Neurospora crassa OR74A: one gene and its partner. Each later gene encodes a partner of the first gene's protein in a complex. Links are inferred from orthologs where the notes say so. Each region holds a gene or a part of one and is shown in the gene's direction. Other genes may lie near its edges. The genes, in order: NCU01440 and NCU06617.

Evidence for each region.
Region 2: the proteins of NCU01440 (region 1) and NCU06617 are in contact, whole or in part, in a crystal structure (PDB 1N2D), measured with the Saccharomyces cerevisiae proteins. The link is inferred for Neurospora crassa OR74A from reciprocal best matches to the Saccharomyces cerevisiae genes MYO2 and MLC1. Residues at the interface, in NP_014971.1 of Saccharomyces cerevisiae: Ile807, Ala810, Ile811, Lys812, Tyr813, Leu814, Gln815, Asn816, Asn817, Ile818, Lys819, Gly820, Phe821, Ile822, Ile823, Arg824, Gln825, Arg826, Val827, Asp829, Glu830, Met831, Asn834; in NP_011409.1 of Saccharomyces cerevisiae: Leu13, Phe14, Lys16, Asp29, Arg32, Ala33, Gly35, Tyr36, Asn37, Thr39, Asn40, Ala77, Thr78, Lys80, Ala81, Asp85, Phe86, Lys88, Ala89, Phe90, Val92, Met109, Leu110, Leu113, Gly114, Glu115, Lys116, Leu117, Glu121, Glu124.

Annotation. Positions count from the first base shown.
Region 1 is NC_026505.1:4,738,432-4,742,720, reverse strand, and holds the start of NCU01440 (myosin-2), read left to right. Parts: upstream 1-1,415; 5' UTR 1,416-2,371; coding exon 2,372-2,506; intron 2,507-2,618; coding exon 2,619-2,751; intron 2,752-2,838; coding exon 2,839-3,028; intron 3,029-3,089; coding exon 3,090-4,289. UniProt on the Saccharomyces cerevisiae protein: Myosin heavy chain that is required for the cell cycle-regulated transport of various organelles and proteins for their segregation.
Region 2 is NC_026504.1:1,814,867-1,818,530, forward strand, and holds NCU06617 (myosin regulatory light chain cdc4), read left to right. Parts: upstream 1-1,359; 5' UTR 1,360-1,490; coding exon 1,491-1,493; intron 1,494-2,034; coding exon 2,035-2,188; intron 2,189-2,262; coding exon 2,263-2,496; intron 2,497-2,583; coding exon 2,584-2,612; 3' UTR 2,613-2,857; downstream 2,858-3,664. Other genes in the region: NCU06616 (S-adenosylmethionine-dependent methyltransferase), read left to right, coding at 57-996. UniProt on the Saccharomyces cerevisiae protein: Essential light chain for the class II conventional myosin MYO1. Also acts as light chain for the class V unconventional myosin MYO2 and for IQG1.

The DNA of each region.
Region 1 (4,289 bases):
CAGTCACCGTCATGGGTGTCATTATCACCGAAACAGACTCATTCCCAACACACCGGTGGATGACGTCCGAGTGAGGGACGGTGTTGACTCTGAATTGTAACAGTAGTCACTCGTCGTCAATCCGGCCACGGAGCAGACAAAAGGCGGCGACGACGCGGAGTCGGCGGCAAACCACCAAAAGCACCGCCTTTCTCCCCCCCCCCCCCCCCCCCCCTCCCCTTTTTTTTTCCTCCCAAGTCCCAGGCCCCGATACTCGGGCTGCCGGCCGCACGGGGGGCCTGGTGGGGCCCGTAAGTAGGTAGTCTCCAACAGTTTCCACAGTCTTTGACGACCCGCCATTCGCTGGCGCTCTTTTTACCCCTGCAGATTCCAGAAAGAAGAGAAGAAGGAACTGAACGCAAATGCAATTGATTGTCATGGTGCCAGACTCAGCCCGGTCCACCCATCAATGCCATAGAGGTATTGGTACGTATTTACACTATGCCCCATTTTGAGTTTGCCCATCTCTCTCCTTTTCAGGCGGACAGGTTAATGCATTTCAACTGTCAACAAGCGGGCAGACGGGCCAGACGGGGACCCAGTTGGATGGCATATCGAACGAACAAATGAACGAACGAACGGACCAGTGCAAACAATTGGCCATGGGAGTCTGGTAAGATTGGGCCTTACTTCCGTGAGTTCCTTCAGGGAGTTGTGTAAACGAAATGCTACCCTGATGAGGGGCGCCGGTGAGCTGTCGGGGAGAAATACAGAAACTCAGGGGAAGACCAAAGACCGTACATAATGAGAACGATGAAGCCATACAAATCAAGAGGGCTATAGATCAGGAGGAGAAACATGGTCGTCCTCATAGGATATCCTGACGGTTATTCACCCATTGGCGTGAGCCTCCAGAGACACATTTGTACATCTCAAGGTAGAGTGTAGACTTGGACATCGTGACCCATCTTGTACATCATGTCGTCTTCCACTGGACACCTCTCCGGACAAGACAAAGGTAACCCTTATACGCTGCTTAGAGGTGCCAGTCACCCATTGTTCTTCTTCGCCTTGTCTGTGTACTATGTAGCTTTCCACTTATGTAGAGTCGCGGGATTCCCAAGCATACCTCTAGGTATGTAATCTTCTTCGCAGTGTTGGTTAGTGCCCCCTTTTAAGGAGAGCCCTGCTTGTCCAGGTCATTTGGGAATTACGGCTCATTGGAGGGGCTCCATGGAGTCCAGCTCCCCAAGCCCACGAAAGAGTCCGTGCTTCGGTGTTAATGCAACGAGCCCAGCGACGCACCCAATTGGGCGGTGGCCGCCAAAGACCGACCACCTCAACATCCACAACAACGGGGCCCCTGTCAACGGAAGTGAACGTCGGCCGGGCTGTTAGCCTGCCACCACGACGGCCCGCCAGTGCTCTATCATCACCGGGCACCTCAGCTACACTACAAGCGGAAGCCTACCCCTAAACTTTCAACGACATCCCGTCTCGTCGTCCCGCCTTCTCGCCTACCCCGACTTTTGACTTGGTTGTTGACCACACCGGCCCGACAGGCTACTACATCAAGGACGTTCCCTCATCCACAGGTGCTATCTCGACCATCAGCCACTTCTATACAGAGAGGCTGCCACCGTTAAGAGAACCCGACTCGACCGCTCGACGAATCCGTTCTCCCACCGCAAGGCAGTGTGTTGGGTCCCCGCTCCGCCCGTTCTGCCCGCCCCGTTTATACGGCATTCCACAACCTTCCTGTCCTACACACAGTGACAGGACCTGACCTATTCCCGGTCAGCCAAACACCTACCAGCTAGCTCCCTTGGGCACGCAAAGCAAACAACAAAAGCAACAACAACATCTTTCAGCTGTTTCGTCCAAGAACAGCCCGCGCTACACTCCCATCGGTCCGACGACACGAGCCGAACCCCCTTTCGAACTCCTAGACCTACATCGTCTTCGACCACCTTGTTTGTCGGCTTGGGCTCCGTTGCCCGCACGATAGCAACATCTTTCTATACTTCTTTAATGTGTTGCTCCACGTCCAATCCCTATTTTTGTATCTAATTTCCCCCTCTTCCATTCCCTTCGTGAATGTTGTCTTCGCCAGCACCACACTCCCGCCGGCCCTTGGATTCCAAGCTTCCGCGACCGAACTAGCATCCTGGACCGCTCTTCATTCCGGTCGTTGCGTCCGCCATAACAGACACGGTCCACCATTATCCCTATCCACCCCCGTCGCCCCTAGCCGTGCTGGCCGTTCCGCCGCTAGAACTGGCTTCTTGAAGCCATCCAAATCCCACCACAACATCTCTTCCCCCTTGCTCCTGACTCGCAGGTTCGCGCCGATTTTCTCTCCCTCGAGAATACACCGATACAAGCGCATCCAATGTCGGAGAGCTATGATGTTGGCACTCGAGCCTGGCAGCCCGATCCTACCGAGGGTTGGGTTGCCTCTGAAGTAGTCAAGAAGACAGTAGACGGCAACAAGGTCACTCTTATCTTCGAGTGCGAGAATGGCGAGGTAGGTAGCTTATGCTTTCCCAAGTCTCGGCATATTCCGACTTTTGTGCTTTGGTTTACGTGCTTTGCGGGCTGGTGCGCTTCAAGATGCTAACATGTGTTACTGCCTGCAGACTAAGACCGTGGAGGTCTCCCTCGAGGCCCTCCAGTCAGGCGGCCATGAGTCGCTACCGCCCTTGATGAACCCAACAATGCTCGAAGCCAGTGATGACTTGACGAACCTATCACATCTGAACGAGCCTGCTGGTAAATATACACACACCTTTGCGCTGACTCGCCCCGCCATCGGGCGCACTCCGAGAACGTGATGCTGATAGCATGTGCTGTGCTTAGTGCTTCAGGCTATCCGCCTTCGATATGCCCAGAAGGAAATCTACACATACTCGGGTATTGTTCTAATAGCTACAAACCCGTTCGCGCGGGTTGACTCTCTTTATGTCCCAGGCATGGTTCAAGTCTATGCCGGGAAGCAAAGAGCAACCCAAGCTCCCCATCTTTTCGCCATTGCTGAGGAAGCGTTCATGTATGGGCTCTTTGCCAATTTGACGATTCATGTTGACTTGTAATCGCTGACATAACAATAGGGACATGTTGCGCGATGGCAAGAACCAGACCATTGTCGTGTCTGGTGAGTCCGGTGCCGGTAAGACTGTCAGTGCCAAGTACATTATGAGATACTTCGCGACAAGAGAATCGCCCGACAGCCCCGGATCACGAGTAAAGAAGGGTGGCCACGAGTCTATGAGCCAGACCGAGGAGGCTATCTTGGCTACGAACCCGATTATGGAAGCTTTTGGTAACGCAAAGACGACAAGAAACGACAACTCCTCGCGATTCGGTAAATACATCGAAATCATGTTTGACAAGGCCACCAACATTATCGGTGCCAAGATCAGGACCTACCTTCTCGAGCGATCGAGGTTGGTTTTCCAACCGTTGAAGGAAAGAAACTACCATATTTTCTACCAGCTGGTTGCTGGTGTGACGGACAAGGAGCGCCAGGAATTGGGCTTGCTTCCCGTTGAACAGTTCGAGTACCTCAACCAGGGTAACACCCCCACGATCGATGGCGTCGATGACAAGGCCGAGTTCAATGCGACCAAGGCATCTTTGAAGACCATCGGTGTTGACGAGGGCAAGCAAACGGAGATCTTCAAGCTTCTGGCTGGTCTCCTCCACTTGGGTAATGTCAAGATTGGTGCCATGCGAAACGACAGTTCCCTCGATCCTTCCGAACCATCGCTGGTTAAGGCCTGCGAGATTCTCGGCATCGATGCTCCAGAATTTGCCAAGTGGATCGTCAAGAAGCAATTGGTCACTCGTGGTGAAAAGATCGTGTCCAACTTGACCCAGGCGCAGGCTATCGTTGTCCGAGATTCCGTTGCCAAGTACATCTACTCGAGTCTGTTCGACTGGCTCGTCGAAATCATCAATCACAGTCTTGCTTCGGAGGAGGTCCTCACCAGAGTCACTTCCTTCATTGGTGTTCTGGATATTTACGGCTTCGAGCATTTCGCCAAGAACTCCTTCGAGCAGTTCTGTATCAACTACGCCAACGAGAAGCTTCAGCAGGAGTTCAACCAGCATGTGTTCAAGTTGGAGCAGGAGGAATACCTTAGGGAGCAGATTGACTGGACCTTCATCGACTTTGCTGACAACCAGCCCTGCATTGACCTTATCGAGGGCAAACTTGGTATCCTGTCCCTTCTAGACGAGGAATCAAGACTACCCATGGGTTCCGACGAGCAGTTCGTTACTAAGCTTCACCACAACTACGCTGCCGA
Region 2 (3,664 bases), on another chromosome or scaffold:
CTACTGACAGCATTGGCGCATTGCTTACTGTAATCATTGACATGTTTCCACGATAGCCGCTCGACGTTCTCCTCTGCTGGGTATGCTGCCTTTCGGCCCTCATATCCCTCGGTTCTTTACGACCGGGTGTTGAGATTTCACGGCAAAGAGGCCCCTTCCTCCCCATCACCATCGTCGTCTTCGCCGGCAGCTGGAACACTGCTAGACCTTGGCTGCGGACATGGCTTAGTGGCGCGCGCACTCGCTCCCTATTTCAACCGTGTTATCGCCCTTGATCCTTCGGCCGGCATGATTGAACAGGCTCGCAAGCTAACCGGCGACAACTCCAAGATTACGTTCAAGCAAGGCGGAGCCGAGGACCTTTCTTTCCTTGACGACAATGCCGTTGACTGTGTGGTTGCTGGCCAAGCGGCGCATTGGTTTGACTACTCCAAGGTCTGGCCAGCACTTGCACGGGTCGTGAAGCGCGGCGGAACCCTGGCTTTCTGGGGTTACAAGGACCACATCATCGTTGGGCGGCCGGAAACAACGCCCATCTTTGACAGGTTCATCTACGGCGAGACAGAGCCGGTGCCGGGCGTGGAAAGCATGATGTGCTTTTGGGAACAACCCGGCCGGAACATATTACGGGATTCACTGCGGGAGGTGGTCCCTCCCGAGAGGGAATGGGAACATGTGGTCCGTATTGCTTGGGATCCCAATCGTGAGACGGGCGACATTAGCGATGCTCCGGAAGAGGCCACTTGGTTGCGTCGGAGGCTCAAGTTGGGCGAGTTGGCGAGCTATATTCGCACGTTCAGTGCCTTCAGTGGTTGGGGAAGCGCCCATCCCCAGATGAAGTGCAGGGCGGACGGAGGAGAGGGCGACATTGTTGACTTGATGTTTGACGAGGTTGTTGCTGCGGTGCCGGAATGGAAAGCGGCGGGGGATCGATGGGCCGAAATCGAGGTTGATGCTATTTGGGGAACCGTTTTGTTGATGGCGAAGAGACGATGAACTGGAAAGGTAGTGTACAATTAAGTGTGGTGAAGAGACGATACTGTACAGTGGTGGTGGCTGACGTTGAACCTGCTATCCGGGCAGTATCACCGGCCCCCTTGCGTAACCAAGGTGCTCTCTGTCAGTAGATGTCTCTCTCGATTGAGCTAGCGGGCATGCAGTGCTGCTGTATCGCGAGTTGTCACCAGTGCCAGTGGGTGGTTGCCCTCCATTGGCTGCCACCGCGACCGGGATGCGGGCGCATAAGGTCGGGTACTGCGTAATGGCACAGACCAGTCAGCGCAACTCCCTGTCCGCAGCTCATTTCGCGGCGGGAAGGGAAGCCCAAATCGATCGCCCACTCCTTTTGCATCTAGCCTTGGTTCGCTTCTTGACCGTTCTTCTGAATAGCATCATCTTTCGCATCGAATCCATCAGCCAGCGTACTTGCATCGACTAGCCCTTGCGTCCTCTTTTGCGCATTCAAACGACATTCCCCCCCCTGAGACACAATGGTAAGTGGACCTGTCCCTGTTCATCCGCCGCGGGCACTGGCACGCGCGCGCGCCCCTCTCCATCCCTCCATCCCAAGTCCCAACCCCGACGCACGGAAACAGAAAGCATGCGAAAGCAAGAGCCAGGAACCCCGCGGTTGCCCATGACAACAAAGGCACAAGGTGCCACAACCTTGGAAGCCGCAGCGTTCTGCGTTGAATCGGAGCACTACCTGTAAAATGCGCCTGCGCCTGCGCCCGGCTTGAGCGTTGAGCTGCCAGGTCCTGCTTCGGCATCCATCCATCACAGACCAAAAAAACACCATTCATTTTGCCAACTTTCGATCGCATCGCTGCTCCCTTGCCGCTTGGGTTTCTGCGCCTTGTTCTCGCAACCATCGCCCTCGTCCTCTCGATTGCCGACTCTAGCACGATCGCAAAGCCAGCGCTTTTGCTTACGCTCAACCTACCGCGATTTACTACATACCCGCATTCTTGAAAGAACATTTCATTGCGACAGCGCAACTCAGGAATCATGGCATCTAACCAGTTCGACGGTCAGGCTTCTACCAACTACAAGGAGGCGTTCTCCCTGTTCGACAAGCGCGGCAACGGCCGTGTTGCCCTCGACAGCTTGGGTGACCTGCTCCGCGCTTGCGGCCAGAACCCCACGCTCGCCGAGATCCGCGAGCTCGAGAAGAACGTTGGTGGTGATTGTGAGTAATACCCGAGCGGAAACAAGTAGTTCATCTGAGATTAGTTACTAACAGATGCCCTTCTCATCCGACAGTCGACTTCGAGACCTTCCAGCGCGTCCTCAACCGGCCAGGTGGCTTCCGTGATCCCGGCGAGCCCGAAGAGTACTGCCGCGGTTTCCAGGTGTTTGATAAGGACATGACGGGTTTCATCGGCGTTGGACAGCTCAAGTACATCTTGACAAACCTTGGCGAGAAGATGACGGACGAGGAGGTAGACGAGCTCCTCAAGGCCGTTGATACTAGCTCCGGCCAGGTGAACTATACCGGTATGTCAGCCTCAGCACTTGCTGTTTGCTTGCCCTTTGCGTGAAACCTAGGAGTCTCGACTAACAATATGTGTACGACGCAAACAGAGCTTGTCCGGACCATCCTTGCCAACTAAAATATTGAGTAGAGGTGGTACGGAATGATGACGAGGGAAACTGGGTTTGGAGGTCAAACATCATGGGGCATAGTCGAATAGAAATCGCGGGACAAATCCGTCCACGGAGAAGGCGTCATATACCATCTATTACAGGGAAATCGCATGTGTTATAATCCAGGCAGGCGTCGGAGTCTTGATAAGATATGAATTTGGACATATCATTTACCGGGAACTGAAAGGCTTTCCGGACGTGTGTCTTAACCAACTACGCTAGATTGGGTTCCACGCCTGATCTTTCTTCCGTCCCCTTCTCTTGCGTGACGGAGGCGTGTTTCCAAGTATACGTTGTTTGCCCAGTACTCAGCAGTACAATATTCGTCATGAATCCCTTTTCGCTCTACTCGAAAAAGGGCTCGACCCTGTCAGTTTGCTTCGGGTAAGGCAAATGACATGAAACATCACAAAGGATGAATATGAGAAAACAAGGCCCTGGAGTTTGTATAGTCACTGGAAACAAGGCCAAACACGTTTCCGTCTTCCTTCGAATTCGGGCTCAAAGGGGATGTGGGGATTCCGATGTCCCTTTTCCGGCCTTCAGTCTGGGTACGGTCAGGAAGTGGAAGCAAGGTGTATCACTTGGCGGTATCTTTGGAGATGTTAATTCCTGTGTTGGATGACCAGAGAGGGGGTAACCAGTACTCAAATACTGCATTATCTAAAGCATCTATGTAATGTTCCTGCAGTAGACTGGTAACTTACAATGTCCGGTCGCGGAAGCCGGACATCTTGGACATTTCCCCAGCGGCTTGCATCGGTCTTGTCAATTATGGAGCCCCTGTCCTCCGCTGACGGCCATCACCCGTGCCTTCTTTTCCCTCGGCTAAGTAGTGAAGAACTGAAGGAACTGTCCTAAATGACACCATCTCTATCCCGTATTTGCAAGGCTGGGCATTTTCTTGACTGATCACGCAATTTGGCGAGAAATTTTCTGATCAAAATTTCAACGGGGAACTACGTTGCCGCCTCTTGTCTGTTCGACAGCCAAACCGATATCTACCAACAATCACGAC